Alligator mississippiensis: one gene and its partners. The main gene of each other region encodes a partner of the protein of the gene in region 2 in a complex. Links are inferred from orthologs where the notes say so. Each region holds a gene or a part of one and is shown on either strand. Other genes may lie near its edges. The genes, in order: INTS9, INTS6, INTS4 and INTS12.

What was found.
Region 1: INTS6 (region 2) and INTS9 share a complex: the UniProt entries of both Homo sapiens proteins name them as parts of the integrator complex. The link is inferred for Alligator mississippiensis from reciprocal best matches to the Homo sapiens genes INTS6 and INTS9.
Region 3: INTS6 (region 2) and INTS4 share a complex: the UniProt entries of both Homo sapiens proteins name them as parts of the integrator complex. The link is inferred for Alligator mississippiensis from reciprocal best matches to the Homo sapiens genes INTS6 and INTS4.
Region 4: INTS6 (region 2) and INTS12 share a complex: the UniProt entries of both Homo sapiens proteins name them as parts of the integrator complex. The link is inferred for Alligator mississippiensis from reciprocal best matches to the Homo sapiens genes INTS6 and INTS12.

Annotation. Positions count from the first base shown.
Region 1 is NC_081824.1:6,034,362-6,042,824, reverse strand, and holds the start of INTS9 (integrator complex subunit 9), read left to right. Parts: upstream 1-4,942; 5' UTR 4,943-4,997; coding exon 4,998-5,006; intron 5,007-8,463. Other genes in the region: HMBOX1 (homeobox-containing protein 1), read right to left, coding at 4,674-4,714. UniProt on the Homo sapiens protein: Component of the integrator complex, a multiprotein complex that terminates RNA polymerase II (Pol II) transcription in the promoter-proximal region of genes.
Region 2 is NC_081824.1:416,202,961-416,210,827, reverse strand, and holds the start of INTS6 (integrator complex subunit 6), read left to right. Parts: upstream 1-4,416; 5' UTR 4,417-4,565; coding exon 4,566-4,676; intron 4,677-4,760; coding exon 4,761-4,838; intron 4,839-4,939; exon of another isoform or gene 4,940-5,019; intron 5,020-5,317; coding exon 5,318-5,467; intron 5,468-7,867. UniProt on the Homo sapiens protein: Component of the integrator complex, a multiprotein complex that terminates RNA polymerase II (Pol II) transcription in the promoter-proximal region of genes.
Region 3 is NC_081824.1:465,164,270-465,172,405, forward strand, and holds the start of INTS4 (integrator complex subunit 4), read left to right. Parts: upstream 1-4,906; 5' UTR 4,907-4,996; coding exon 4,997-5,050; intron 5,051-5,129; coding exon 5,130-5,321; intron 5,322-8,136. UniProt on the Homo sapiens protein: Component of the integrator complex, a multiprotein complex that terminates RNA polymerase II (Pol II) transcription in the promoter-proximal region of genes.
Region 4 is NC_081825.1:131,326,185-131,333,824, forward strand, and holds the start of INTS12 (integrator complex subunit 12), read left to right. Parts: upstream 1-4,469; 5' UTR 4,470-4,553; intron 4,554-7,640. UniProt on the Homo sapiens protein: Component of the integrator complex, a multiprotein complex that terminates RNA polymerase II (Pol II) transcription in the promoter-proximal region of genes.

The DNA of each region.
Region 1 (8,463 bases), about 410 Mb from region 2:
GGAAAAATGCATTGATTTTTTTTTTTAAAGGTTCTTTCATGTTTACTCAAACCTCCAAACTGTTAACACTTTACCTGCAGTAACTTCAAGCACGTGAGGAATCCCATTGATTTCAATAAGACCACTTGCATTTCTCAAAGTTAAACGTGTATATCAGCATTTGCAGAATCAAAAAGAAATGCAAAAACTCTAGACCTCTTGATTCAGAGATGATACCACATATTAAACCAACTAAAAAATTGCAAAAAAAATATCTTTTTTCTGCAAGCTTTTGGGCACACACACCCTTCCTCAGGCTCAGGGAAAATTAAAGGTGGTAAAAAGTCCCCATTGGTAGAAAATAAACTTTCTTTGCAGAATCAAGGCCTTTTACTATCATTTTTCAGGTCTCTAACTAGGTGCATAACACAGTGCCTAGTCTTGATATCTCCTGGGTTACTGCACTCGTTTATACAGGGGCAATGAATTACAGTTTCCAGCTCTTGACTGAATACTCCATTACCAAATCAACTTAAGAGGCATATAGTTTAAAAGACCCTCTCCCCCCCCCCCCCACAAAAATCAACCAAAAACCTTGTCAGTAATATGACACTTATGTGAACACACAAGGTAATACCATCAGGACATGTATAAACTAAAGGCCCAATCCCACAAGGAGTTGTAGGTGGTTACCAGAGCCAGCGTGAAGCTGCATTAAAATCAATGTAAAGTGACATTGACTGCACTGACTATAAAAGCATCCCAGCTGGGAGCAGCCCAGACAACAAACAAACTGCATTAAGTTATCTGTAAGACAGGTAAAGTTATCTGTTCTGCTGCAATAAGATTTTTACGCTGACAGCATTTTTTAACCTGATTGACTCCAAATCCTGAAGTTCCCTGAAGGTGAAGAACATGCCCATAAACTGCTCTGATCCTGCATTCAAAACCCTATGAGCGCTGCACAGAAAGGACTACACTCAGGAATCTCTCATGCAACCAGTAGCTGTTAGCATAAAAGGCAATCTTCAAAAATCCCTGTTTATGGAAGGGAGGCATCAGCATGCTTTAAGTTAAACTGTTTCTTGCATCAGAATAATATTCATTCCCCCAGCTCCCACCACACACACTTATCTAGAGTCTTCCCCACTCCCCAGAACTGCACACTGAAGGTCCAGACTGCATAAGGCACACACTGGCTAAAGTGTTAGCAGAACAAGTGCATTTCACTACAGAAACTTGAATTTCTTTAGTCCCAGGGTTTCCTTAGCTCCCGAAACAAAGGCAGAGAACAATTCAAACTCCTCCCTGAACTTACGCATATGCCACTTCATTATCATGACAAAATGAGTGCATCAGGGAACACTTGGGATTTCATTTTCCAAGCACTGCTCAGACATTTGCTGGCCCCACCTCTCTGAAGGAGAGCAGAAGAAATCCTTGCATGACAGACATGGAAACAGGCATAGGGTAAACTTCTCTGAGCAGGAAGGGTCCATGTCCACTCTGCAGAGCATCTAGCACAACGGGAGCTCGTTACCAGGTGGCCATGTAGGCACAAACTATTATAGTTGTGCTTGTACAACGGAATATGCTTTCAAGACTGAAGCAACTTGCCAAAATTAGTGGGAGAAAGAGGAATGTCTCAGCTACCTAGGATTTTCTGAGAATTTCCCACCAATTCTCTGGCAACATTGCAGTTTCATGCCCAGGAAGAATGCCTGGCAGCCCACATGCTACAATGTCGTCTAGACCTGCTCTGAACGGAGGTAGATGACACAGGATTAAAAATGCTGATGGCTGACTGCTAGCAACAGTGCTAACAGAATGGGAGGAAGATTAAGAGAACAGGCACAGCAGAGTTAAACACCACGTCCTTGTTCCTGATCCCATGCTCAGCCCGCTAGACAATTCTGTCTGTACAGAAAGCTGTGCCTGACTCAGGGTTAAAGACGAAGAACTTGTGTGTCAGAAGGGGACACGGCATCCCCAGATGCAAGCATTTCACTTTAGTTTGAGCAGAATTGTCCCACCTCAGAGAACCCAGAGCTCTGAGGACACAGAGACAGCAGATAATTTTCACAACCAGAAATATAAATCTGCCTGAAGCTAAAAAAGTTCAAAATATCAGTACATGTAATGTACTGCTCCCCACCCCACACACCTTCTGCCCTCTCCCCACCCCACACACCTTCTGCCTCCCTACCTTCTCCTTAAGGATTTGGAGCTGAAAGAGCAGAAGGAGAGTCAAGACGCACACAAATAAACAAAGTTTACGGTCTGCTGTTGCAGGACCATACCCCAGCATGATCTTACAGCGACTAAAGAAAAGTCTTCAGAGTTATATATCCACATACACCCACTCCCCTCTCACCAGCATCCCTGTGAGCCTGGCCTAATGTTAGATAAATAAAGAGAAAGGCAGTTCCTACTAATGAGGCAGGGTACGGCAAGGCCAAAGAAAATGCAATCATCTCAGGGGGGAAAAAAAAAACAAAAAAAAAAAAAACTGCACTGGGCTCCTCCTCTCCCATCTATGGAGGAAATCAGATGCCAGCTGCACCATCCGAGGAAGGAAGCAGAGAGAGGCTCTTGCACCTGATGAGCCCTGCAGAAATGAGTTAGCTATATCACAGGACCCAGACAGCCACTCCAGGATTTTGCAAGCCCAAAAGTTGTCTGCTTAGCACAAACCGTTTATATGACAATTTTATTTTCTGGGGTGTCAAACCATGCAAATGTCATCCCTTTCACTGGGTCCTTCTCCACTATCCCCTCTGGCCTCTGGGGCACTCGGCCAGTGCCCATCAGACTCGCTGTTCTCACATCACGACTCTGCCCATCAGTTTAACACTTCCTTCCCCAGGTTAAAACCCACAGCTTTCAGTTGGTATAGATTTTGCACTTCCCTCGATGCCACAAAAAACTCCAGAAGCAACCAAAATATACCCGACTTCAGCGACTTGGAAATATCACCCCCGCACAAGCAAGCTTCCCCCCGCCAAAAAAAGGCATCCTCCCCCTCCCCCATGTGAAGGGGGTTGGGGAAAGCATCACCCACCGCCAAAGGGCCAGAAGCCAGAGAGAAACGGAGCTGCTGCAGAAACTGTTTCCAAAGAAATGCCCTGCAGATGGATTCAGCGACACTTCTAACTGCCACTTCCCACCAATAAACCCACCGGCCAACACAGAGGGGGCAAAAAGCTCTGCCGGGCTCCTGCGTTTCGCAGTTCCTGAAGGAAGACGCGACTCCCAGCCGGTATTATTCTAACTCCGCGGCAAAGCCAAAAAAGCATAGGGCCAGGATAAAAAAAGAAAAAAAAAAAAAAAAAAAGAGCAGCCATGCGGCATTTTCCTCCCTCCCACCGCCCCCAGCAGCAGCAGCCACTCTTCCCTAGGGCAGTTTCAGGGCCCCACACATCCCAGATGTGCAGGGAGAAGAGATTTCCCAAGCCCCAGCCTCTCCCTAAAATACCAAGTCATGAGGATATGAAGGCAAACATCCCCCCACCCTCCGCCCAATGTCTCCTCATGCTCCACATGTGGGGAAGGGATTTCTCCTTCTCCCAGCCCCAGTCTCCCCCTGAAAAACAAAGTCATGAGCGTACGAAGGCAGACGCTGCCCCCCTCACCCCTCTCCAACCTGGACATAGAGAAGGAGGGAGTTTCACCCTCTTCCCAGCCCCAACCTCCCCCTGAAATACGAGGGGACGCTGCCCCCCCGTTTCTCCTCACACCCAGCATCCCGGACGCGCACCAGCCTTGCCCTACACCCCACGTCCCGGGCACGTGAAGTGATTTCACCCCCCGCCACCTCTCCTCACACCCGAAGTCCCGGACACAGGAAGGGATTTCACCCCTCCAGCCTCTCCTCACACCCAGCATCCCGGACACGCGCCAGGAAGGGATTTCACCACCCGCCCCAGCCTCTCCTCACACCCCATGTCCCAGACCCACAAAGGGACTTAACCCCCCCCCCACAAGTCCCAAACCCATGAAGGGATTTAAACCCCCCCCCCCAGTCCCAAACCCATGATGGCATTTAAACGCCCCCCACAAGTCCCAAACCCATGAAGGGATTTAACCCCCCCCCCCCAGTCCCAAACCCATGATGGCATTTAAACGCCCCGCACAAGTCCCAAACCCATGAAGGGATTTAACGCCCCCCCCCCCCAGGCCCAGACCCACGAAGGGATTTAACCCCTGCCCCCCCAATTCCCAGACCCACGAAGGCATTTAACCCCCCCCATCCCAGACCCACAAAGGGATTTAACCCCCCCCTCCCAAGTCCCAAACCCAAGAAGGGATTTAACCCCCACCCCCCCAATCCCAGACCCATGAAGGGATTTGCCCCCCCAACCTTTCCTCACACCCCAAGCCCCAGACACAACCACGTAGGGGCTTCACCCCCCAGCCCCCCCCCCCAAAAAAAAATTTACAAAGTAACAAGGAGACACACACAGACCCCCCCCCGCACACACGCACGCACACACACACACACACACACACATACACACACACGCACGCAGAGTGAAGGGTTGCGACCCCCAACCCCAGACACACGAGGGGATCCCCACCACATACAGTGAAGGGGTGCCACCCCCTCAGCCCCCCCGAAATACGAAGTGAGGAGGATACACAGGCAACCCCTCCCTCCCCCTCACACCCCCTTTCAGGGCTCACCCCAGACGGACCGTCTTTGTCTGCCTGACGAGCGCCATGTTGATATCAACATCCGAGCGCCCACCTGCCGCCGCGCCGCGGCCCTGGGACTTGTAGTTCGCCGCTCCCCAGGGCGGCGGACGGCGGGCGGCCCGCGGACTGCAACTCCCGGCGTGCCCCGCGGCCCGCCAATCAGGGAGCGCGGCCGGCCGACTACAGCTCCCGGCATGCCTCCCGGGCATGACCTCATCCGCCGGCTGAGGAGGCGGGGAGGGACTACAGGTCCCAGCGTGCCCCGCGCGCTGGGAGGGGGAAGAGGCAGGGCAGGAAGGGGCAGGGGGGAAGAGGCCGGCAGCATGAAGCTGGTGAGTGGGGCGGTGCAGGCCGGGGGGGGGCTCTCTTGTCCTTCCCCCTCCTGTGTCCTGGGGAGCCTCAGCCTTGGCCCCTGCTCCCCCTCCCCACCTTGCTGGAGGGCCCCGTCCTGCACATGGGGAAACTGAGGCACAGGAGGGGCCTAGGCTGGGGGTTCATGCCTGTATTAAGGCCCCAAACAGGCTTGTGTGCACCGGGGGGGCGGGGGAGGAGCGTGGCCGTTTTGGGGGAGGGGTATATGGGGGCTGGGGTGGCACTGGGGTGGTTTGGGGGGATGGTGGAGGGGTATTTTGGGGCTCGGGTGGTTTTTTGAGGGAAAGGGGTGTTTGGAGGCTGGGGTGGTTTTGGGGGATGGTGGAAGGGTATCTTGAGGCTGGGGTGGCACTGAAGTAGTTTGTTGGGGTGGCCCTGGGGGCAATTTTGGGGGATAGTAGAGGGGCATCTTGGGGCTGGGGTGGCACTGGGGGCAGTTTTTGGGGGTGGTGGAGGGGTATCTTGGGACCGGTTTGACACTGGGTGAAGTTCTTGGGTGGCAGTGGAGGGGCATTTCATCTGGGGTGGCGCTGGGGGCAGTTTGGGGGGATGATGTAGGGGCATCTTGGGTCTGGGGGGGCAGTTTAGGAGGGAAGTGTTGGAGGTGCATCTTGGGCAGGGAGCTGGGGCTGCGGAGGGCACGGCAGGTTGGTGAGCGTCTCTGCTCAGTGCTGGGAGCAGCTGAGCATCGATTTCCACCTGAGTTTACAGGGCACTAGAGAAACTTATGGGGAGGAAAGCTCTGATATAACACTGTCTAGTCAGATAACCCAGTCCTGATCGCCCTCCTCTTTGTAACCGCTCTTCTTTTGCAGTAGATAACTCTGTTCAGATATGCCCAGGGCTGTCGTAAAGCAGACGGCCATCAACTGTTGTCTTTGTTTACAGGACAAGAAGTAATGGCCTCTGACGTGCAACACAGGAGATATAGGTTAGATGTTAGGAAGAACTTTCTAACTGCGAGGCTGGTTGAGCACTGGAAGAGGTGACCTGAAAAGGCTGCAAAACCTCTGGTGCTGGAAAGTGGGGTTTTTTTGGTTTTTTTTTTAAATGCATGTTAGACAATTTTAGAGGTTGATTCTCAACCTTGTTAGACATGGGGCACCCCTCAGAAAATGCCTGGAGGCTGCAAGTGAGAGGAAGAGTGGGAAAAATCCCTTATCATGCCTTGTTCACTCTCCCTTTCAGCATCTGCTCTCTGCTGCCCCATGACACAAGAGCCTGGGCAATTGGACCTATGATGTCATTCTGTAAATGGCAGTTTTGTTGTTCACACATTTTTAACTATGGAAAAATCATAGAGCGGGTTTTTTGATGCAAAGAACTCAGAAAGATCATAACAGATCTAAATGTGTTTAACCCAAGGATTCCTATTTGAAATTTCTAGGTTCATCAGAGGGTGGTTTTGATTTAAATACAGTTGTTTTAAATCAAGAACCCTCAATTTTAATCATTATTTTCTACAAAAAGTGCATTCTTGATGTTTGATATAACCTTCATTAAAATATTCCCAACCTGGGTCTCTTTTATGGCTTGGCCAGCCTGCTGCCATGATAGGTTTTCCCTTCTACCATATCATTCCCTCGCTAGATCTCAAATTAGTGAAGAAGCTATACTCAGAAACTTATTCCTCAAGACTTTTGGAATATTCTGCTAAAAATGTTTCTTTTGTTTCTATTGCCATCCCGTCCTTGCATTATGTCTAGACTCTTCCTCCTTGCCCAGATCTACTCCACCCCCAACAATCCTTTATTCATTTAACTTTTTGAAACTTTGCACTTTTAGAGTGGGGCAAAAGCTTGACTCTGCATACACAAACTTGCCGAGACAAGAGGGCTGATCCGTAGGTAATTGGGTCGGTTCTCTCTCATCTCTGTGTACTGCTGTTAACAGGGGTGTTACCTCTGGAGAGACAAATCCACAGTCTGAGAACTGAAACTAAACATCACAGAGATGCTTAATGGGATTTTCTAGACTGAGCACTGAGTTCCACTGGGTAGAATAGTTTTCTTTAATCCTTACTAATCATTGGAGAATCCTTTGGGAACCCCATAAGATTGGACCCTAATATAGTCTATGGCCTGTTTTGACCTATTTATAAAGCTTCTCTAAAAAGGTTACATGAATATATTGTTTCAAATAGTATATAATTAGAAGTTATAATCCCTATTCCATGATGATATCTTTGAGCTCTAACATATCTTAAGTTTAAACTATTTTTATGTAGGTTTATTTTTTAAAAATCGTAAGAAAAAAATCGATATGATTCAATCAGAAAAATCTGATTTAAATAAAAAAATTCAACTTTTAATTAAAAAAAATCATTGATTTTTGTCCACCCTGGTTCATCATGTGAATCATGTTTGTACACCTAACAGTGCTAGTGTTGTGTGCCCCCCCGATAGGATTTCAAGGCACCCCTTGAAATCACCCCTTGGGTCACTGGTTTAGAGGATCCTGCTTTGAGCAGAGGATTCATTTAGAAGACCTCTTAAGGTGCCTTCCATTTCAATTATTTTAGTTATCATTCTTTGTAGCCACTTTACCAAGTTTTCCTCCCTCCGGCTCGGACTGTCATGTCCCAGCGTACAGGGACAATCTGTAGCTTTTCTTTTCCTCAGGCAAAGAAAGGTTGGGCTGACTTCCACAGGTGTTGAGTACCTTTGTCTGAGGAAGGTGTAGATGGCATAGGTTGGCACTCAGTACAGTAAAATCTCTGCTATCTGACATTTAACTAGCCAGAATACTCTGTTAACTGGAATTTCTGGCCGGCCGGACGCAGGGGAAAGCTCGCACACGGCAGCTGCCACGGCCGCTCCGCGTGGGCTGCCCTGCACTGCCATTGCTCTGCTGTGCCGAGCTTTGCTCCGCGCTGAACCCTGCTGCTGTTGCTGCTCCACATGTAACTGCTGCCACCTCCCCACTCCACATCTGGCTGCCGCCACCCCCACCTGCCCCGGCTCTGCGTCTGGCCAGCAACCTCCGTACTTCAGGTAACCGGTATTTTTAGATTTCTGGCACCCCCTGTTCTCTGCTCATGCCAGATAATGAGGCCTTTACTGTACTTCTTAAAAATACCTGCATAACCTAAGGAGCTTATCCAGTGCACGCACTCCTTTGACGGCAGAGCCTGGAGTAGAGTTACCAGTTTAATTTCAGAGAAATATAATAATAGGCAACTGTCCATCCTCTGGATCATGTTGTATTCATGTAAGAGGTCTATGATCATCACACCAAGGCCTTCAATGCATATTCCTAAGTGAGAGTATGGGGGCTGCCCAAAGCCTGCCATCCCCACTTTAGACCGTTGAGACAGAATCCAAAGGCCAGACCGAGTTCAGATGTTCAGTGCCTCAAGGGCGGTAGTTTCTGCCAGACAGCAACAGATAAGACCTGTTGCTGACTGCCTAGTGCCTC
Region 2 (7,867 bases):
CCGCCACTCCCCTGCTTTCCCTCCCACTTGCCTGCCTGCCACTGTTCCAACCACTTCCCAGCTGTTGCTGCTCCTGCTACTTCTCCCGCCCATCTTGACTCCCTGCCTGCTGCCACAGCTTTCCATCCTCTGCCATTTCCTGCCTGCTGGCTGCTCTTGCTCCAGCCTGCCCTGGTCAGCACCACATGGTTTCCAGACTGCGTTGGCTGATTGCAGCGGTCGTTACCCCCCACTCCCCCCCATCCAAGTGGAAAGTTAGATAAGATTGGATGGAGGGAGGGCAGGGAACATCTAAAGGGTCACCAGGCCAGAAGCCACAAAGACTTCCGGTTGGGGGCTGGGGTGGAGTCTGGGGGCAGGGTGGAGCTGGGCCAGCCTTACTGCTCAGCTGCTGGGTTCCGCCACCAGTTGCCCCTGGGCCCTGCTGCCTTATCTTCAACAGGCAGCCACACAGTTAATACATTTTCTATGTTTTTTTTTAGGGGCGCTGTAGACTAAATCTAGCCTGTAGGCTGTATTTTGCCCACTCCTGGCTTAGGGTGTTTATAGATTTTATTTTTTTTAGGGTCAGAAAGGACCTATTAGATCATGGAGTCCAACCCCCTGCCCTGAGGGGTAAATGGATTCTAAATGTGTTCTAAATGGATGCATCATAACTAGGAGCAATAGGATGAACAAAGGCAAACTTAAGCAGAGTATTCGCAAGATCTACTTCACTGCTGATTTAGTCTTCTAAGGGAATCTGCGAATCCCATCACTTGTATCATTTAAAACTGAGCTGAACAAAATACTGAAAGATTTTCATGGAACAATATTGGACTGAGGGGAGAATAAAAGTTCTAGTTCCATGATCTATATAAATGTCTTCCACACAGCGTCCTCTAGTCAAGCCTGAAGTTTATGACAAAAGATCTGACAGCATATTATGTTATATAAGATTATCATCACATCCAACTATCAAACAGGAGGAACAGAAAACTGAAGTAAAATTTATTCAATAATAGCAAGTGTTACAAAAGTATTACATCTTGTTTATATTTTCAGTTTTAAATCTACTTATTTCAAAACGGTGTCTCTGTACATGTAGTGTTTAATGTTAAAGCCAGATTTGCAATTTTGAATGAGTTCCACACTAGTTTTTAAAGGGACACCACTCATTTTGAAGCACAGAGTGAGCAAAATAGTTTCAGGTGCTACCCCTGCTGCTGAGTTCCCATGCTGCATTTTGTGAACTAAAAAGATTCCTTGGTATTTATGTGGCTTTTCATACAGCAACCAGGAAAACTTACTACGAAGAACTCATGAAAAGCTTATGTATAAAATGAATACATTAAAAAAAAACAACCAAAACCCTTTCTTATCCTTCAGTGACAATACTCTTAGGCATTGCTTGTCACAATTGTGAGAGAGCATATTTCAGATAGACTGTTCCTTTAAATTTTAAATAAAACAACTGATTACGGGGAACTGTCATTCTGAGTATAAATATACCTATAATGTAACAAAGCTGAGAAGCCCAAAAAAGTGGCATCCATTTTCAGTCGTTAAAACTCAAGGAAACTTCTATGCTCAGATATGGCTACTATAGCACTAATGAACATGACCACTAAGGTCGCTATTTTCTGCTCTGCTCCTCTGTATATCCTTTTGCACAGGGAGATATTTATAAATATCACTTGGATGCTGCTGCTAGACACTAGGATTCTTGCATCACAAGCTGGCTGCTGTCACACCTTCTTGCGAAATGCTTTAAACAAATTACTTTTCACTTGCTCAGTTTTTCTTAAACAATAATCAAAATAGCCAGCTTGCAATATAAAAGCACAAATGCCTAGCATAGGCAGTACAAAGGCATCCTTGATTCTGTATCTACAAGTGACCTAATATGGGAAGGCAAAAAATACTAGTATTACATGAAGACGGGACTGTGCCAGCTGCCTGCAGTGATTCCAGCAGCCAGCTTCAAAGTCACAGTGGGTATGTATGTTTCTTAAGCATGTCTCTGGATATTGCTGTAGATGCCCAGGTTCCGTGCATGCAATACCAGATTCTTTCAGCCAGCAACGTCCACTGGGCCTAAACCCTGGAAGGCAAAATGACTCCTACTGTCTAAGCTCCATCTTGCCACCCACAGCAGTGAAACAGAACAGCTCTTACCTTTAGATTTCAGATTAGTGTTAGAGTTAGGCAATTATTTGATCTTCTGGCTTCCTAGCTCATTGATAAGGACTGTTCTTCATGTAATACACTGGAACGATAGGCATTTAAACTGCCCTCTCCCGTCTTTTGCCCCGGAGAATACCATATTTCTATATGCTATCTGTAGATTTTTCTCACAGCTCACGCAGAAAGCTTGAGATACCCGAGTGAAGTCACTTCTATTACACTGCTATGGACTACTTACATAAAACAAGACCGTTGACTTGTTTTATGAAGGTCACTTTGACTATCTGTAGCCTTTAAAGATGGGTCTAGGGAACAAGCTACTTGAAAAGGGCATCGGATTGAACTAGGATTCCCTATGAACAAAGTAAAATAGTTCTTCAGTTATAGCAGCCATCTAGGCCCAAATCAACCTCCTTGGCATGTCTGAGGAATGTCCCTATCACAATTTTACAAGATAGCCAGTTATAGCAGAGTATGCAGTTTTATTTCATGTCACTCCCTAGTTGCTGCTATGAGCCCTGATTTGTACAGCATTCCTATAGCCTTAATTCAAGGTTGATCCCTGTCACCCCCTTCCCTCCCACCACAGGGAGATAACTGCCAGCCACTCACCTCCAGCAAGATTCACGCAGTCCTCTCTCAGAGGAAACAGTTACTTATAGTAGGGCAATGGCCCATCAAGAAGACAGTTAAGTCACATGGAACCCTAGAAACCACCTCCTTCACTGCTAAACATGGACCCTTTCTAGGCAAGGTCCAGTGTCAGCCAGGGGTACAGGAAGCAACCGGGGGCTTGTTTTCACCTTTTAAAGGCCTTTGGAGTCATCTTGCTGGGCGGATCACAAATGCAGCACCTAACACAGCGCTGGCAAGAGGGATCTGCTTATACCTACCAGTACAGCAACAACGGGTGCAAGAAGTTCTGCCTCTGCTCCCCTGAAATTAGCCCTAAACCCCAGCCTCGCATTTATCTGGCCCCAAATAAAGCACGTTGGACCAAAGGTAGGCCTTGGTGTGCAGGGGTGGGGACACAGAACAAGGCCAGGGCACTGCTGATTCCTTGTCTGAGGCAGCCAAGTGGCTCAGTGGGGATGATGGGGGAGATCAGAACCAGCACCATTTTTGGCACAAGAGGGGAAGTCAGCTCGGGTAGGAAACAGCAGTCCCTGCGCACACCCCGAGCGGGGAGACAATGCCTGTGCCCCGAGAGCAGATCGCACGGAGCCGCCCAATGCCGAGGCGCAGCCCCGGCGCAGGGGCCTCAAACTCATCCAGGCGAGCGGCTCGGCGGAGCCCGAAGGTCGCCCCGGGCCGCCCCCACGGGCAGCAGCGCACGTGGGTCCCGTGGCCCCCACCCCCACGCAGCACCGGCCGGGCTGGGGCGGCGCCGTGACACGGCCCCGGGAGGGGGGGGGAGGAGATGCCACGTGTCCGGGCGCTGCACGTGGGGCGGGCCCGCGCCTCCCCCAGGCTAGCGCCGCGGCTCCGCAACCCGCAACCGCGCTGAGGGAAGGGCGGCCAGGCCGCCTCCGCCCGCACACATCCCGCCCCGCCGCCTCGGGGCTACCGCCGCCACCTCCGCCTCAGGGCTGCCGCCGCCGCCGCCGCCGCGGGCGAAGCAACCGCCCGGGAGGAAGGTCCCGCCCCGCCCTGCCCAGTCGTAGGGGCTGAGTTGTGGGGAGGCCACGGCCGCGAGGCTCTACAGAACGCAGCTCCCAAGTCGGCCGGGCCCGCCCCAAGACCCTCCGGCAGGACCTGCCCATAGCCCGTGACTCACCCGCGCGGGTGAAGGAGCGGGGTCCCCGCCCCGTCCTCCCCCGGCCCCTTTTCTCGCGCCCCTCCCCCCAGCGCAGGAGCGAGCGGCCACAGTGCACATGCGCCCCCGTCAGGCCTTGGCGCGTGCTCGCCGCCAACCGCCGTTCCCCCGCCCCCCCCGGCGATTTGAATATGCTAATGAGAGCTCGGCGGGAGCCCTATGGCGCGGCGGGCAGGTCATCACGTGTCGCAGGGACGTGTCCTGCGGGGGCGGTGCCCGACCTGCCCAGGCTGCCTTAAAAGGGGGAGTCGAGCGAGGAAGCGCCTCAGTCAGAGACAGAAAGTGCTGGGGTGGGGGGTGCGCGCGGCAGCTCCACCCAAAACTTTGAGTTACATCCACGGGGGGGAGGGAGCGGCGGCCGCAGCAGCAGCCGGGCAGCCCCCGCCCGCTGCGCCTCACCCCCCGCGCGGCCGGGCCGGGCCGGGCCGAGCGGGCCCGCACACAAAGGCGGCCCGGGCCGGGCTACCCCGCGGCGGGAGCGCCCCGTGCACAGCACTCACTGCCCCGCATCCGCCCCGCGCCGCCCCCGGCCCCCGCCCTGTCCATGTAGCGCCCGCCGCGGGCGCCGCCGCCGCTCCGCACTATGCCCATCTTACTCTTCCTGATAGACACGTCCGCCTCCATGAACCAGCGCACCCATCTGGGCACCACCTATCTGGACGTAGCCAAAGGCGCGGTAGAGACTTTCATGAAGGTACCGGGCGGGGAGCGAAGGGGCGCGGGCGGGGCGGCGCGGGGCCGGCTCGGGGTAACCGTGCGCTTTGTCCCCCCCCCGCAGCTCCGCGCCCGGGACCCCGCAAGCCGCGGGGACAGGTACATGCTGGTCACTTTCGAGGAGCCTCCCTACGCCATCAAGGTAAAGCCCCATCGAGCGTGCGGCGCTCCGCCCCCTTCCCCTCCCCCACCCCACCCCCTCGCCCGCCCCGCCCCCCGCCCGGCGCCGGGGCCGGGGCGGCCGCGCTGGTGTCCGGCCGCGGCGGCGCTGACATCAACATGGCCGCCATGTTGGCGGCGCGGGACGCGAGCCGCAAGGCACTGTGGGTGATCCGGCGCGAGTTGCGAGAAGTGACAGCGACTCGCTCGCTCCGGGCCTGGCTGGGGGGGGGCTCTCCTCACCTCTCCTCCCCTCCCTGCGCCCCCTCCCATCTCTTTCACCCTGCTGCCACCCCCGGGGTAGGGTGGGGGCAGTGCCCTCTTGGCACCTCGCAGGGTGCCCTGGGAAGCACTCGCCTTGTCCCCAGAGGGACCCCCTCCTGTGGGAGCCTGTGTGGGGAAGGGCAATCCCAGCCCCCCACTATCCTGGGATAAGCCCCTCTCTTGCCTTTCTCTTTTCAGGCCGGATGGAAAGAAAACCACGCAACGTTTATGAGCGAGCTGAAAAACCTGCAGGCTGAAGGACTGACAACTCTTGGCCAGTCCCTCAGGACCGCTTTTGATTTATTAAACTTAAATAGATTAGTAACTGGCATAGACAACTATGGGCAGGTAGGTTGACGGTTAATAGGGGGAACACCTAAAGGAAAAACCCTCAAAAAACCAACCCTGGAGCTTTCACAAAACCATACAGGATTCATTGACAAAAATGATCTTCCTTCATGACACTGCAGTTGAAAGTGTTTGGGGCTACTTTGAAAGAACCATTCAGCCATCAGAGCAGCCCCAAGCAGGACGTAGTTTTTACCCAACTTCAGTTTGGTTTTTCCTTAATAGTTGTAAATATTTCTTCACCTTTTGAACACTAACATACCTTTTGAAGTTGTCATTTTTTTTTTTTTCCAGTTACCATGACTGTCAGTTTTCTTTTACATTTATCAGGAGCCAGGTAATTAAAACCTTTGTTTCAGGTCAGCAGCTGATTTGCCACCAGGCTCATGAAAGGAGGAAGCGTCTTCATGTACAGTGCTGTGCCATCAGTAGGGTTGCGCTTTGGGAGTTTAGCTTTTTTCTGAAGTGTTATTGCTGCAGCAGTCACAAATATTAGGCTAATTGGAGCAGAGACTTAATCTTGCGTGTCAGATTTTGTCGTCTTTCTTAGCATATTCCTTCACTTCTGTTGTACACCACCAGATCATTCAGTTTCTGACCCCTATATAAGAACCACAAGAAGCTCTACGTGCACTATTATGATGTATTGGAGCACAATACAATGTTCCTTCTCTCACAAGTTGAGCACGTGCTGTGGGAAGTGTTCAATTCCTGTTTAGCCTAGAACATAAGGAATTAGGAACATGAAGCAAACCATAGGTTTGTTTAGTATAGTAGTGAGTAGCAAACCTGATCATTTGAGAAGGCATATTAATTGTATATTTTGTACTTGAGACATGTTATCTCACATTTCCTCTCCTGGTTTCCTCTTGTGATGTAACCCTCCCTCTAATGGCAAAGAAATGGTTGCTGCTTCTTGTTGGTCAACTGGAGTTACTCAAGTGACATCAGGTGCTTTACAGAGGAATTCTAAATCTGAATATACAGTCTCCTCTTCAGTGTCATGTTCCTCTTGCCTAGGAGGGGCATTTAGACTTCTCATGTTGCATTACTACTAGATGAAAGTCACCCTCAATATTTTTTTGAATGTAGATAGATTAGTGAAACTTTGAAATGCACTACTTTCCCATACAGAGCTACTTTTTTAAATCTATTAACGTATGTGCATGTTCACCTTTTTTTCTTCTTCCCTGAATTCTTGTGTCAGTTGAATTAGGTCAGGGGTGTCAAAGATATTGCCCTCAAGGTAGATATGGCCTGTGGTGTTGCCCATGGAGAGTGGCCCCACATGTTTCATACAGCGTGTGCTGAATTGGATCCATGCACTGCATGTGGGGCTGGCCCGCACTGCATGTAGCATGTGGGGTTGGTCCAGGGTGTGCTGCATACAGTGCCTGCACCATTGTGGAACTGATCTGTGGGCCCTGTCTGGCCTGTAGGATGACACCATACCAGTTATCTGGCCTGTGAACTGGCCCTGTTCCAGTTCATCTGGCCCATGGGGCTCAATGAGTTTGATACCTCTGGCTTAGTCTCATGATGTTGTCACAAAAAAATTGCTATCCCAGGCATAAAACACTAGAAGCCGACTTTGTACTATGGATGTTGATGAAAACTGATGATGCTCACATTAAGTTACTTATCCTGAGTGAGCCAGCCAGTTTAGGGTTTCTTTTTTTCATTCAGATGGGCGGGTGAATTGATGTTCCCATTGGCTGGTTGTTGTTATGAAGCAGTGCTTGATAATATGAAGTTGTTTTCATCTGAGGTGGATCAGACCTGTCTGTAGTTCCTTGATTGCAAGTCTTTCCAAGCTTGCTTATTTTACAAACTTCATCAACTGCTGCAACCTCTTCCATTTGTTGCAGTTGGGGAAAGGTTTCTGGGATATACATGTTTGTGTATGTGATTAAACAAATGTTTCCTAAATTTAAGCATCCTTTGCGCGTGTGCACACGTGTGTGCACATATACGCCTATATACATAGATGGCAAAGGATGCTTAAACTTAGGAAAGGTTTGTTTAATCACTAATATATATATGTTTGGCAAATGCTACATCCTGGACTGCCAAGGGCTTCCATTTCATAGATTTCATAGACATTAGGGCTAGAAGGAAACCTTGCAAGGTCATTGGGTCCAGCCCCACCTGCCCAAAGGGCAGGAAGTCTGCTGGGGTCAAATGCAAGATAAGCATCCAAATGTGCCTTAAAGGTATCCAGAGCAGGTGCTCGCTCCACTTCTGGGAGGAAGTCTGTTCCAGACTTTAGGAACTCAGTTGATAAAGAAGTTTTTACTTATGTCCAGTCTAAAACAGTCTTCCTGGAGTTTGTGACTTAGACCTTGTCTTCCCTTGTGAACAGACATTCTCTCAGTTCCTGATGCACACCCCTAATGGATT
Region 3 (8,136 bases), about 49 Mb from region 2:
CAGAGCAGGATAGGGATGCACTGTCCTTCCCCTTTTCCCTCTCACCTAATTCTATGCCAGAAGCCAGGACTGGCAGTAGAAGAGAAAACTCTCTGCAATGCACTGCCACCAAAAGATCCCCTTGGCTCTGTGGGGATCCTTCTGGGACCTGCCAACCAGTTTGACTGCAAGAAACAACTGTGGGAGCAGTGCAAACATTCAAAGGACCCAATCCATAATGTTTATTTTTGAGGAACAGGGAGGATAATAGGCAGCTCCACCTCCAGACACGAGGTTGCATTTCCAGGGTGGCAGGGGCATGGGGATCATCTTTGTAGAGCAGCCCATCAGATCTGGCAGTGTCAGTGGGACGGAATAAATGCAGGACACCAAGTCCTTAGTTTGATTATAACTTCACTCTGAAGGTCCTTTAGATTAGTTATACATATTCAGATGAAAGTCATATGAGCACATGCAACTCCCATTGAACCTCCTGGGAGCTGTGCTCATTCTTGCCATGGTTATATTTGGTCCTCCACTGAGAAGTTAAATGCTGTAGCACAGTGGCTTTTAGCCTGTGCTCTGTGGCCACCTGGGGGTCCACAGACTATGTCTAAGGGGTCCATGAAAGATGACTATGATCAATCAAAAGCAGGTGAATAGCCACAGTTATAATTCAAAGGGATCTGCACCTCCATTCAATTTTTTTTTAGGGGTCTGCAAATGAAAAAAGGTTGAAAACCACTGCTGTAGTACAGTTTGCCCAGCAGGCTGGATGGGCAGTGCCTGGTCTGTCCACGGGCTGGATGCCAGTCTGACGCACAAGTCAGATGTGGCCCCATCCAGGTGTGGGGAGCGGGATGGGGCAGCCCGACCTTGATCCAGCCATGTGACATAAGGGGGTTAGCCAGGTCCCAGCGAGGCCCCCCAGGGTGGGGAAGAAGCATAGCATAGCCCCATGAGGGGAAGAGGGTATGGCCTGGCCCCCTTTCAGCCATGATTCGGGTATGCAGGGGAAGGGGGTTTGGTCTGGCAGAGGGCATGGCTCAGCCCCACAAGAAGGGTGTATGGCCCAGCTCCAACCCACTGCACGGGACTTGGGAATCTAACATCAGGGGAGGGTGGTGGTATTAATCATCACTGCTCCCCACCACTGCCAAATTCCTGTGCCATGGCTCTGCAAGCTGCATGTGTCTTGTAGGCTGGAGGTTGAGCACCCATGCCTTTGCATAGTGTTTGTCATCCTTTTCCATACCAGGATCCCACATTAAAAAAGAGAATCATCAGGGCCCTCTCTCACCATAAAGAAAGATGTTATGCTGTCCAGGCTGACAAGCTATTCCTAAGCAAATATAATTATGTTTATTTTCATGTATTGTCTTGCAGTAGGGCCATAGAGCCCCAGTTCTGGACAAGGACCTCAGTGTGCTATGTACTGTACAAACACAGAACAAAAACTGTTTGTCATTTAAGAGGAACATGCACTCCTCTTGAGTGCAGCTGTGTTTAGCTGCTTTTCTTGCGACATCTGTTAATGTCGTCACGTTGCAAATGAATGCGGGCTTTCGAGCTGTAAGAAAAATCCACAATGATTTTGGAAAGGAGTGCTCCTAAAACAAAACTCAGTGGAGAATTTTTGCCTGAGCAGGGGCGCAGGATTAGATCTCATACACTGTTTTGAAAAATTCTTAAGATTCAGAAGTTTATTTTGTATTTATTTTTCTACTTGAGGCCACAGTTGGTGATTTTAAGGAAATGGAAAGCTGCAGGGGGGCCTGGAAAATTAGACTGGCCATTCGAGTTTGTGGGTATGTTTACTCTAACTCTGAGAATATGGGTTGCCCCAAGGGCAACGTGTATTACAGGTTGCTAAATAAATATATGTTTAAAAGCCTCTTTGTACAAATTAGATGGGCCTTCTTTATTCATCTGTTCTCCTTGTACACTACAGGTTTAAAAAAGTAAAATACAGTATAGAAGGACTGACTGCTGGTGCAGGTATTCCAGGAGTGTGAATAAGGAATAACTCCACTTGAGCCAATGCAGTTATACTGTGGACAACAGGAATAAGTGTGAGGAAGGTTAGTGCCATAATATTTAGAAGCTTAAGCAAGAAGTTAACTTTTTAGGAGGTGTCTAAAAAGGTTTAGAAAGAGGAAATGTTAAAAGGATCTGGTTAGCTTAGTCTAAAAAGAGCAGACTGAAGTTTATTCTAAAGGGGATGGTGGTGAATTACTCTCTGTGTCTTTTAAGCATAGAAGTTGTCATCTACTTGATTTGCAGCAGTGGCCATCCAGATTAGCTCTTAAGAAAAGACTTGCTAACTATAAGAATAGTTAAGCACTGGAACAAGTTACCTAGGGGGCTGTGTCTAGTTTTTAGGAACAGGTTAGCCAGACAGCTGTCAGGGAGAGCCTAGGTACATCTTGGGGAGGTTCCTACTTCACAGCAGGATGATGGAGCATATGACATCCTGAAGACCCTTTCTGCCCTGTATTTCTATGATTTCTTTTAATGTATGAATTTTGGTGTCCAACTTGAGACACCTTTAAGCAGAGTGACTATATCTTTCTTGTCTCGAAATGGGACACTGCTTCCCACCTCCTCCCCTCTCAGTTGTTTCTGAGTTCCTGTTTCAGCTGAGTGTGGGGGGAAGGATGCCGAGTGCTGGAACTGGGGAGGAGGGAGGGGGAAACAGCTCTGTGTTCATCAGCACTCACTATCCCTGGTGACTTCTGAAAATCCTGGCCCTGACCCTCAATGTCCTGAGCATGCAACATTCCCAATTAGTGCTAAGGTCCGTTGCTCTAAGGTCCAGAGCTCTAAGCTCAGATCCTAGGTACATTGAAATAAAAGTCTCCCTTGACTTCAAGGGAAAAGAACCTGGTCCTGTGGTTCACTGAGCTCATTCTGCTTTCAAGGCAGTCAACCACAGGTGAGGGAGCTCAGCATTTCATAGGATGTCACAGAGGGGACTATCAGGAGGATGTATGTCAAGCTCAGGGCTGTGCAAAATGGTCAGATGCAAACCCAAAAGCTGAGTTCTTGGTCTTGTTACTAACACGAAAGATGCCTCAAGTTTAGAAAGACACGTCTCAAGCATGGAATTTAAGTGGTGCTGGTGGTGATATTATTGTTAGACATTATAGATCGAAGTCCCGTATCCCTTACAGACATGATTGGGTCTTGCAGCAGTAATGCATTTGTCCCAATATCTTCTCTATGAGTCTATGTGACTGACTGGTATTTTGAGAAACTATCCTTTCAAATCCAAACACCCAAGTGTGAGGGAAATGGGTTTCAAATCTACACACAGCTCCAGAGTCAAAACTGGTATTTGGCCTCTCTCTTTGGAAAACAGAAAGTTTAAAACCTGGGTTCCCTTTATAATTTTGGTATTTATAAAATCCTGTCTTATGGAGGGACTGCCCAGCCTCCCTGTGAAACTGAAGATAGTTTCCCAGGGAAGGGTCTTCTTAATTTCACCAAAAACCAAATAAACTGTCCTGGAATTTCCCAACGCATCTTAGAACAGACATTTTTTTGGAGAGTTTGGGTTGCTTCTGCACAGCTTCAAACCTTTCCTGAAAATAGAGAACACAAGCCAAACAACCAACCACAACCAATAAACAACAGGCAATGAAGTATTTCTTCATGTACATCTGAGTGCTGCTTGAACCATCACGCATGAATCAGGCCGGGAAACCTTCGGCAAAACAGCTTCACCCTTATGTACCCAGCCTCCAGCCCAACCCCTGCTGCAGCACACTCATCGAGCTTGCAGACCAAATCCTCCCATTTGAAAAGAGGTTGGGATTTTTCCCTATTTAAAGAGACATCAGGATCAGGACCTGATGCCCCCTGCCTGCAATCAAAGGCACACTGCCAGTGACATCGGGTTGTCCAAGCCTTAGGGGAAACTGTAAATAATTGGCACGAAGCGAGACCTTCTTCTATATATTTTACCTGTGCCTTTAGACCACGTTCTGAGCACACGTGCAGGTATTGATCAGGGCACAGTGCTGAACCAGCCAACAAGAACAATGGCAACAGGAACTGATCCTCCCGCCTCCCTGAATTGAGCAGCAACAGCCCTCCCCTGGCAACCCCACGCAGGCAAAAGCATACACAAGTAAGTCAGGCCTTGCAAGAAATGAAGTGGGGGCTCTAGGACCCACAGAGCAGCGTCTTGATTAGGATGCACTGAGCTGTAAATTCAGTGTACGTGAGGAGATGCAGAAACAGGGATGTGTTTGTGGTGCTCGATACACCCCCCTCCTCACACTGGGGAAGTGAAAAGTGAGGAGCCAGCCCCCAAATTATACTGATTTACTAAGAAAGAGGCATATCTCCTGCCACGCCTGGATGCTGCTTGTTAAAGCTCGGCCAACTGCAGCTAAAGGGAGGTGTGGGTCTCTCTCCAGTGTCTGGTGAATTCGTGCCTGCCAAGGACCACGCGCTCCATCCTTGTGGACAGCCACGGCTGTGAGCGCAGAGCGTGCCAGGCAGGGCTCGAATGACACTTGGACCCTTGCGGGGGAGCCTGCAAACAAAATTAAACCAGTTCATTGATGAACAAATCCAGCTCAGCGAAGGAGCAATCTGCTCGGAGACCCCCCCCTCCCTAGGTTATAATTTCCAAATCTTATATCTCTTATGGGGAGCCCCCCCACCCCCAAGCTCCCCCTTCATTTGCACCCTAGTGCCACGCACAGGGTGCCTCAGTGGTGCACCCCACGCGTGCAGCAGCCAGGCCAGTGGCAGCATTAGCATGACCCCCTGCCCCTGCACCAGGCTGCAAAGGCAGCTCCTGACTCAGGGATCTGCATTTCTCAAAGGGGACAGCCTGGCTCCCACAGCAAGCCCCGCCCCCTTCGTGGACCATTGAGAGGAAGACCTCCGCGGTCCTAGAGAGGCCCGTCTCGTTTCCTCTGTGTGCTGCGGGACGCTGAGAGAGACAAGCCGGCTACGGTGGCGGCGGCGGCTCAAGCCGCGCAGGTGAAAGGTGGCGCCCAAGATGGCGGCGCACCTGAAGAAGCGGGTGTACGAGGAGTTCACCAAAGTGGTGCAGGTAACGGCCGGGGAAGGGACGGGAAGGGAAGGGAAGGGGGGGGGTCCGCCCGCCCGCACTAACAGCCCTCCGCCCGCAGCAGCACGAGGAGCCGGCGGCCAAGAAGCTGCGCCTGGCCAAGCCCAGCAAGTCGGCGGCGCTGCACGTGGACCTGTGCAAGGCCGCCTCGGCCGCCGACGCGCTGCAGCACCTGCTGCACTTCGCCCGCCAGCCTGTGGAGGCCGAGAGCGTCGAGGGCGTCGTCCGCATCCTGCTAGAGCACTACTACAAGGTGGGCCGGGCTGCGGCTCCGCCATCCGCTCCCTGCCCTCTCTCTCTGTCTGTCCCTCCCCACCATGCTGCGTGTCCCTTCCTGATCTGCCACGTGCCACATGCAGGCTGCCCGTGCCACTAGCATGACGCCTGCCACAGGTTAGCATATAACTACGCAAGAGTCTGATGAGCTTGTATAGAGGTGCTTGGCTGTGTTAGTCTGAATCAGGCTTTAGGTAAGGCAGGCTTCAAACATGGAGGCTCACTGGTTTGGAGAAGCACCAGCTTTCACAGGCAGCAGCTTCATCAGATGTGAGGAGCGTCCATTCCTTATGTTTGATGAAATAGCTTGTCACCTGCAAAAGATTGTCTCTCTGAACCAGTTAGCCTCCAAGGTGCCAGCCTTCCTTATTCACTGCCCATCCCCTGTATGAATTGTACTGCAGCTTTTACAACCTTGGTGTTTTTGTTGTCTGTTTCAGCAGACAGGCGAAGGAGTTAGCACATATTCTGCATATGCGCTATCTCCTTCAGGGTCAGGCTTTAGTTATTGGGGTAGCTTGGTGTGAGAGAAGCTAGAAAGTGATTGCTGTATCTGGTTTGTGAACAGGCAGATTCTTACTCTAGGCTGCCGATCTAGTCTCTGTCATCATCACCCTTCAAGTTAAGTTTTATTAAAAAACAAGAGAAATAACACATTTTGCTGTCAAGATGGTGGTCTTCTCCTTGGTCGTCCTTCAGCTTTGTCTTGCGAATCATAGCCTTATTGTAAATAATGGGTCTTTATTGCAAGCTGAAGCTTTGTTTCTGCAGATCCTTATAACAGTTTCGTTTTAAATCAGTCATTCACTTGCCCTGTTGAAGAAGTCATGAGGGAAGTTTCAGTTTCAGCCCAGGAATCTGCTGTCTGGCTGGAAAGAAAATATTTTGTAGGTGAGAGGTTTAGAGCGAACTCTGTTTTTTAACCCCGTGAATCCTGTTCTGTTTAAACAAATGATGTGGAGGCTCCTTATAGCCGTTCTTACTCGCTTTACAAGATGTTGGATCAGCTACACATGTTTCCCTCGCTTATGGTGTACATGAGTTCTTGGAAAACAGCACATAACTTGAATTTGCATAAAGGGGACCGACCTACTTTACAATGTAACAAATAGGGATACTTCCAAGAGCTCAACTGTACTGCCCCCCAGACCCACTTCTGCCACTCTTACAAGATAACTTTGGTATTCACCAACAGCAGACAGTACACACAAGCACAGCTGTGGCTCCAGAAGCACGGGCACCAGCTGCCAGGGCTCTGCGCTGATGGGACTGGACTAGGTCAGGCTGTAGGGGCTGGTGCTGTAGCCTGACCCAGGCACCACCACCCGGCTCAGTCCCCCCCAATTTTTTCTTCCTCTGTCTATGGCATCACTCCCACAATGCTCCGCACAAAGCAACTGACTGCAGGCCTCCACTACACTGATTGCATACAAGTGAATTTATCTTGCATATAATAAAGGTTTGGTATAAAAAGAGTCATTGCATAAGAGCGATTTCACACATACAGAACCTGCATAAAGCAAGGGAAACCTGTACTAGTTCTTTTCCAAATATGAATTTACAATGTTCTTAGAAAAAAGAAAACCCCACAATGTAGGGAACCTAATATATCAAGGCCCTGACCCTAAGAAGGTGTTGGAACATTTTGCCTGTAACATGATTTTCTCTCTTTTTTGTGATCTTGAGTAGGAACAGTTGAATGAAACTGTCTAGGTAGCATGCTTATTATTCGTTAGAATATGGTCAACCTTTTGGCCCTGTGGGCTGGGTGAGTAGCATGAAGCCAGTCCGCGGGCCAGATCTGTGCAGAGTCAGTGTCTAGATTGTGCCCTGTGTGGCCATTGCAGAACCATGCTATCCAGTCTGCTGGGCTCCCCATGGGTCTGGAAACTTGGCAGCAGGGGAGCAGCAATTAAGGTTGCCCAGTTCCCCTCCCACCATGAAGAGTCCTACAGACTGGATGATATGGCTGCTCAGGCCAGATTTGGCCCGCAGGCTAGAGATTGAGCACTGTTTGTATTTCAGGGGACTTATCTAGGGTTCAGATGCATATCATCTTGTTGGGAGCCGTTGTACAATCAGAAGGTAGATGAAATTCTGCGTAGATAAGGACAAGTGAGCCAGTGTTGGAAGGAACAGTTTTAAATCCGCACATGAGGCCAGTATTTCCAGTACTGAGCCTCTGCAATAGGGGCCAGTTTTCGACATGCACTAACTCTGGTTATGGTGCTCCTGGTCAGACTTTTTAAAGAGCCTGGCATCCAGCCTGCTGAACTCCTCTGAAAACATGGCCACTCACTTGGTGCCTAAATGGGGTGAGAGCTGTGCTGTTTTGAAAATATAACCTTTGAGGACTCTCCGTTTTAACTAGAACAGTCTAGACAACCTTTTCCCAGCTCTTTCACTTCACCAGGAAGAGGGGCTACAAGTCACTTCTGTACTGGTCCATGAGGTGATCGCTGGGCCTAGAGGGTAGGGTAGGTTTCCCTGGCTTTTCTGGGAGTAAAGGAAAATCAATTCAAAAGTCTTTTAAATTAAAAAAAATAAAATAAAATCACAATTCTCATTTATGAAACATTGTCAAAAACATTGGAAATGGTTCATGTTCACCATTATCTAAATTGTGGGTGCTCAGTCTCCAGCTGATGGATCAGATGTGGCCCATGGAGCCATTGCATCTGGCCTGCAGGGCTCCTAACATGTTGGTAAATTTGGTGGTGGGGGAGCAGTGGCTATTAATACAGCTACCCACCCCTGCTGCCAAAGTCCCAAGCTCTGTGCAGCAGGTTGGA
Region 4 (7,640 bases), on a different chromosome or scaffold from region 2:
GGGTAACGTGGGGCCTCTGCAGGACATGCTAGGGAATCTGGTGGTCTCACCAGACAACAAAGCTAACCTCTTTAACAATTTCTTTGCCTCCATTTTTCTGAGCAGGGACCAGGTCATCCCCCTCACCAGGATCCCTGATGGTCCCAGGGGAGTCACAGCCAGGCCCACGGTCAGAGAGGAACTAGTCAGGGAACTTCTGGTGGGACTGGACACGTTCAAATCAGCAGGTACTGATGACCTCCACCCCAGAGTGCTGAGGGAATTAGCAGAGGTCATTGTGGGACCCTTGGCACAGCTTTACGAGCACTCGTGGTGCTCTGGCCAGGTGCCAGAGGACTGGAAAAGGGACAATGTGGTCCCCATTTTCAAAAAAGGGAGGAAGGAAGACCCAGGAAATTATAGGCCTGTTAGTCTTACCTTGGTCCTGGGGAAGCTCTTTGAGAAAATTATCCAGGTGCACATCTGCAAGGGACAAGCAGGGGAGTGTATGTTTAGGGGCAACCAGCATGGGTTCATTAGAGGCAGGTCCTGTCAGACCGACCTGGTGGCCTTCCATGACCAGGTCACAAAATCCTTGGATGCAGGTGTCACGGTGGACATAGTCTTTCTGGACTTTAGGAAGGCATTCCACACTGTCTCTCACCCCATTCTTGTTAAAAAATTAGGAGATTGTGGTGTCAATGCCTACACAGTCAGATGGGTCGCCAATTTGCTGGAGGGCTGCACCCAGAGAGTGGTGGTGGATGGGTCATTTTTGACCTGGAGGGATGTCGGCAGTGGGGTCCCCCAGGGCTCGGTCCTCGGGTCTGTACTGTTCAACATCTTCATCAGAGACTTGGACGAGGGGGTGAAAAGCACCTTGTTCAAATTCACAGATGACACTAAGATGTGGGGAGAAGTGGGAACGCTAGAAGGGAAGAATAGGCTGCAATTGGATCTGGACAGGTTACAGGAGTGGGTGGATGAGAATAAGATGGGATTCAATACTGACAAGTGCAGGGTGCTGCGCCTAGAGAGAAAGAACCAGCAGCATACCTAGAGGCTGGAGAACTCCCTTCTCGTCACCACAGAGGCAGAAAAGGATCTTGGAGTCATTATAGACTCCAAGATGAACATGGGCCGCCAATGTGGGGACGCAGTCAGGAAGGCTAATCACACCTTGCATCCACAGATGCATCATGAGCAGGTCCAAGGAGGTGATCCTCCCCCTCTATATGACATTGGTCAGGCTGTAGTTGTAGTACTGCGCCTAGTTCTGGGCACCGCACTTCAGGAGGGATGTGGACAACATCAAGAGGGTCCAGAGGAGGGCCACTTGCATGATCAGGGGGCAGCAAGGCAGGCCCTACAAGGAGAGGCTACGAGACCTGAACCTGTTCAGCCTCCACAAGAGAAGGCTGAGAGGGCATCTGGTGGCTGTCTATGAACTGGCCAAGGGAGACCGGCAGGCAATGGGAGAGTCCCTGTTCCCCCGAGCACTACTGAGAGTAACAAGGAATAATGGCCATAAGTTGACAGAGAGTAGATTCAGGCTAGATATCAGGAGGCACTACTTCACAGTCAGGGCGGCTAGGATCTGGAACCAACTTCCAAGGGAAGTGGTGCTCACTTCTATCCTGGGGGTCTTCAAAAGGAGGCTGGATAGACACCTTGCCGGGGTTGTCTGACCCCAGCATTCTTTCATGCCCATGGCAGGGGGTCAGACTTGATAATCTGCTTAGGTCCCTTCCGACCCTACCAACTATGAAACTATGACATCGTGTCCTTACTAATCTCACCAAACCACATCTTGACTTTACAGAGCGTGCAGGTAGAAGGAAATGAGAGTCCAGCTGACAGGGTTTACGGCTTTACTGGCTCCCCTGGTATGTCACATTCTCAGCTATGACATCTCCCAGGTAAGGCCTCTGGGTTCTTCTTCCCCAGACTAGTCCCTGCCCTTTGATGCATCTAGCCTAGCCTCTAGAGCCCTAATGGAACCTCTAGCCTCTATTTTGGGCCTGTGAGGCCTCCTCCTGTTTTCCTAACGCTTATCCTAGTCAGTTTTCCTGGGTTTCCATTCTTCCTGGTCCAGCCAGAGCCTTCTGCTTCCCCTGCTGCTAAGCCCTTCCTTTATACTGCTCTTAAAGATGTGGCCTCCACCCTGGTTCCTCTTTAGAGGGCCCTTTCCCTTCTTCCCTATAATGGGGACTGAAGCGGAAGAGACCAGTGGCAACAGTTCTAGATGCTGCCTTTGTAGAGTGGGGCATAAAATAGCCACAACCGCAGCAAGAGCTGCCATGATCATCACCACAACAGCCAATGGTGCCCTGGGCATGGAGTTGCCCTGCTACACTCCTGCTGTCCCATTATACAAACCATCGTGCTTTCCACTCTGCTTGTAGCTTATATTTTGTAGCTTATATTTTCCCACTTCCCTATCAAATTACTTCTCTTGTCCATTCAAACTGCAGACTCCTTGGGGCAGGACAGACATTTACTTATTTCAGCTGGAGCCTCAAGCTGCTTCTGTAATACAATAATGAGCAACATCATCTGCTATACTGAATAGGTTAAAGACCAGATCTCAGAAACAAATTTACCCATGGTATGAATGCCACTTTTGTTAACTAAAACTCAAAAAACAAAAATAACTTCACAGTTATCGTGTTTGTTTGCTTTTCAGTATTTCCCAGGACATGGAGTAAATGCCAATTAAATCACCTTCACTGCACAGCAGTGTTTGGGTTGTGGGACAGACCTATGCATCTTTGTTCAAAGAACAGATGTTTCCCAAGAAAGTTAATTTTTTTTTAAAAGATGGAAACATTTTGGTCCTAATTTCTGAATAAGGCTTTGATCATAGATGGACTTTGTGTTGGGCAGAGTCTTGGGCATCTTTGATAACAATATTTCTTTCAATTTAACATGTGCCAGGACAATTAGGTTTTTAAAAAATGGAACGTCTGCTCCAACAAATAGGCAGAGCAGTACAAAACAGTACCCGTGCGTTTAGGACATGCAGCTCAAGTGACCTAAGCTATATTTCCACCAATTTACTGTGCGACAACAAACTAAATGCTTAACTTCTGTGCCTCAGCTTCCCCATTAACAGAGAAAAATTAGTCAGAAGGTTCTATATAACTTCATATGAAGTTCTTTTGAGAGATTCAGATGAAGAATGCCAGAAACTGAATTAAAAACCAGGCTTTGGTGCCCAAACTATTTGAATGGACCCCTTTCAACCAACCCTGACAGTTCGCAAAGGGCAGCAGAAGAACGGGGTGAGGGTCTAGCGGAAAGGGCTACCAGGCTTGAGACATTGCTTATTCTGCAGAGAGCAGCGTTGCCAGGTCTTAAACATGAAATTATCCTGTCGGAAGCTCAAAATTATTGCATTTGCTGAAAAACTATTGTACACTGAAAAAATATGCAAATAAGTATGCAAATGTTTATTTACTTTATACTGCTTCCTGTAACTTGCCAGGGAGTGAGTGAGAACAGAGTCAAAGTTGAAACATCTCCTTGTTTTGAAGCAAGCAGTCATAAGAATGGGTTGACCAAAAATCATTTCTCAGCCTTTTGAATCAAATCAAGTATGATGGGGGCATCCAAACCCCAAGACCTCTGAGCTTGCTTGGACCTACACGTAGGATACCTGCCAATGGGTTTGGGAGCATCTTAAGTCCCAGAGTAATTGGTCTGGGAAGGAGGATGTTCACCAGTTGTAGCACCATACACAGCATTCAGAATGATTGAGTCCTGCCTGGTCCATCGATAAGGCTTTTGGACCGATTGAGCTCTGCTCAACCAATATGATTCGGAACTGATTTGGGTGCTTTGACCTAGAACATGAAATATATTGAATTAAAAAAAGCAAAACAAAATAAAGTCAGTTAAGGCTCCCTGAAAGTGACCTGGGTTTTGCATCCGCTGCGCCAAAGACCTGCCTCAAAAATTGCGCTATGCTTTGAGCACTTCTCCTATTATTATCCTACGAGGGTTGACGTTATGGTACAATTCGGATGGCTCTCGTACACCCGGCCACCCTGGCAGAGAGAAACAGGCCGGGGGGACAAGGGAAGGCGGCAAAATGACGGTGGGCAGGCGCGGCGCAGCCCGAGGCGCCAGGAGCCCGAGGGGTGCACCCGGGGCCGCGGAGACCCCACCGCCAGCCCCGCCCGGGGCCCAAACCAGCACTGCCCACCCCCCGCCCGGCGCGCCCGGATTGGCCCCGCAACGCACACGCGTCACAGGCCCCCCATTGTGATGCAGCCCCTTTCCCCAGGGGGGAGCTGGTGCCCCTTCCCAGCCCAGTCAAGAGCTGGGGGCTCCAACCTAGGTCAGCACCCCCCCGGAAGCATGTGACTCCCCCACCTCGGAACCACGTGACCGCCGGCCCCGCTCCCCGCAGCCGCTCACCCGTGGCGCAGCTCCGGCCCCCGCGCGGCGCTGACGTCACAGCGGCCCCGCCCCTTCCTGCGGCGCGCGCTGCCGGGCGGAACCCGCGGGCGCAGCGCGCGGCGCCGGGGGGACCGCGAGCTGGACGGACTGGCCGGCCGGCGCGGCCAGGGGTAAGCGATCTGGGCTGCAAATAGCACGTGTGCAGGGCCGATTTGGGATCCCTCCCCACCCCCCTCCTCCTAGCAAGCCGATGCAGTGCTTGCAGCACCTGCTGTAGCCGGCCCGAGGCAGGTGTCGCATGCAGCACGGGTCCTAGAGCGGAGCAGTGCAGTGCAGTCCCGCACCAGCCACAGTGGCACCGGCACCGGCTGCGGGGCAGGGGCCTGTGGGTCCCGCCACCTGCCAGATCCAGGACCTGTGCTGCACGCGGGGGCTGGATCTGACACGCCTGGCTGGGGGGGAGGGGCAGTCCCTGGACCCGATCCAGCCTGTGGACCAGTCCCGTGTCACTCATCTGGTGCACGGGGCCAGCTCACTTTGTCACCCCTGCCTTACAGTAAGCATTAGCCAGGGATTCATTTCTGTTTGCTTTTCTGGGCAGTGAACCAGATAGGGCTTTTCCATCTCTAATGGTTCAGGTTCTTGAGCCTCACCTGAATTACCAGACCCCTTTTCACCTGTTCGTTTTTCCTTTGAAGATGCATTTTGGGCAGTCAAACCTGAGCTAAATGCAAGCATGTTACTGGGTTAACAGTATGTTAGGGTCAAGCTGAAAGATATGGCTCTGTGAAGAGCTGCTCTTTATTTGCGGTAGTGCTGGGTACGTGAGTGACTGGCACCTCCTGAATTTGGGGGGGTGCCTGCATAAGCCACCACGGTGGCAGCCCTGTCGGGGGGCACCAACCTTACCAACAGCATCAGTGTCTGCTGTCAGGGGGGGCTCGTGCTCCTCTGTGCACCCTCTACCTGTGGCTATGTCGCCTATGGCTGGGTATATGTAAGTTTAGTCTAAGAAGAGAAGTATAAGTCTATAAGGGGGGGGCACATTAGGATCCGGGAGAACTGTTGTTCACCAGGGCCCCCCAAGGGATAACTAGGTATAATGGCCACAAACTCCTGGAAGGCCGATTTAGACTGGACATAAAAAAAAAAAAAACTTTACAGTCCGTGTGCCCAGGGTCTGGAACAGACTCCCCCCAGAGCTGGTTGGTGCAAGCACCTACTGTGGACTCATTCAAAAGGCGCCTGGATGCTTATCTTGCTGGAATCATTTGATCCCTGCAGACTTCCTGCCTCTGGCAGGGGGGCTGGACTCAATGATTTCATGAAATCCCTTCCAGCCCCTAATGTCTATGAAATCTATGAAGAGAGGACACAAACCAAGCAATAAGTAGCCCAGAGACAGACAAACAGCAGGTAGGAGGAAATGAACCAACAGATTCACAATACATGTGCACAGTGCACACACATGTACCTGTACCTGTCTGCGTGCATATATATGTGTATGTGCACTTGTATGTATATCTGCACGTGTGTGTATATAGGGCAGGTCAGTTGTTCCCAAGTTACAAGACAGTCTTTAAATTAAAGTTAATGTGCTGGAAGACTTTCATCACTTTTAACCTTTTTACTTTATTTCAAGCAACAGCTTATCTATTAAGTGAGGAAAGGGTGGGGAGAGTAAAGAAAGACTGTAACCAGTTAAACCAGAATTCTCCAAATGCTGGCTGGATCTAGCACCCAGTCCAGGCAGGGCCTTCCCAAATAAAAGATCTGAGGTGGCTCTCTGTCTACTAACTCTTTTGCTAATTAGCCCAGTGCATTGCCAGGCAAACGTGACTGCCCTCAGTCTCTGTAACTCTGCAACATGCCTTGGAAGTACAGGGGAGGGAGGCTGTGGAGTTATACAAGGGGTTGGAGGAAGTGGACTCTGGGGCTGTAGTGCCAGGCCTGGGGTGGGAATAATTGGTGGGCTGTGTATCTCTGCAAGATACTCTGAGAAAAGCAGGCTATTGGACTGCATGTGGTGCTGGAGCATAAGTGGTCTGTGGGATTGCATATTAGAGGTCTGTGGAGAATCATGGAGTGTTCAGGCTAGTGAACAGATGTTAGACATGGAGGAACAATGGATGTTGGGACTATGGGACCATTCTAGGAGTGCATCGATAAAAAATTTGGGGGCCTTTACAGATGGCCAATTATTAACCAGTTATATCGGTTGATACCGATCTGATTGCCAATATGCAGCCTGGCAGTTTGGAGAGCAGCATCCAGCCAGTAAGTCTGTTGTGGGGAAGGAGCGTAGGGGAGGCAGATTGAGGCCCCTGCAGTGAGGCAGGGGCTGGGGTAGGCGCTGCACAGCCGGGACGGAGTTGCAGCTGGTCCAGGGGAGGGGGAAGCAGCTCCTGCCTCTGCACGCACCCCTGGGGCAAGCGTGGGGGGCACATGCCCCCCCTGGATCTGTGTGTGGGGTAAGGGTGGGCTGCGCACTTAGGGCCAGGGCTGTGCCAACCTCTTCCTGGCAGGGGCTGGGACAGGGCAGACGACGGCACTGGGAGGGGTGGCTATGGCAAATTTTGGGGTAGCTATAGTCCCCCCATAATCCCCCCCCCCCCGGCACCACTGCCACCCGCCCCAGCAGGAGCGCCCCCCCCCCCATACCCCTTGGATGAGCCACAGCTCTGTCCCACACTCCACCCCATCCTGGCTGGGCAGCAACTGCCCCAGCCCCACTCCCTCCGTCACCGCGGGGGCCTCAGTCTGCCCCTCACCACCATGCCCCTTCCTCCCCACAGATTTATTGACCAGATGCTGCTTTCCAAGCTTCTGGGCTGCACTCCTGGCCATATGCATTCTACAGCTGCTCACATGCATGTGACACTTATCAGCGACATTATCAGGCACATTAGCCAAAAAAAGCCAATTGCCAATAATGTCAATTTTCCTTTTATCAGTGCCGATACAATATGGACCAATGCATCAATGCATCTCTAGACAGTTCATATGTAGCATCCTTTGTGTGTGGAGGCAGTGGCTAAGGCTAGAAGATATGGGGCAGTTTAGGAGAAGAGCACTACTACCTACTGATAAAAAAGATGAACTCCTGGTACAGGGCAGAGCCCCATGGCTTCTGCATTGGATCATGGTGTCACATTAGCAGGGCAGTGCAGGAAGGAGATCATCTCTCTTCCCTTCCCTTCCATTTGTGGTTGCAGTTTTGGACTAGCTCAACTCAGAATGCCCCCTGAGTAAATTGC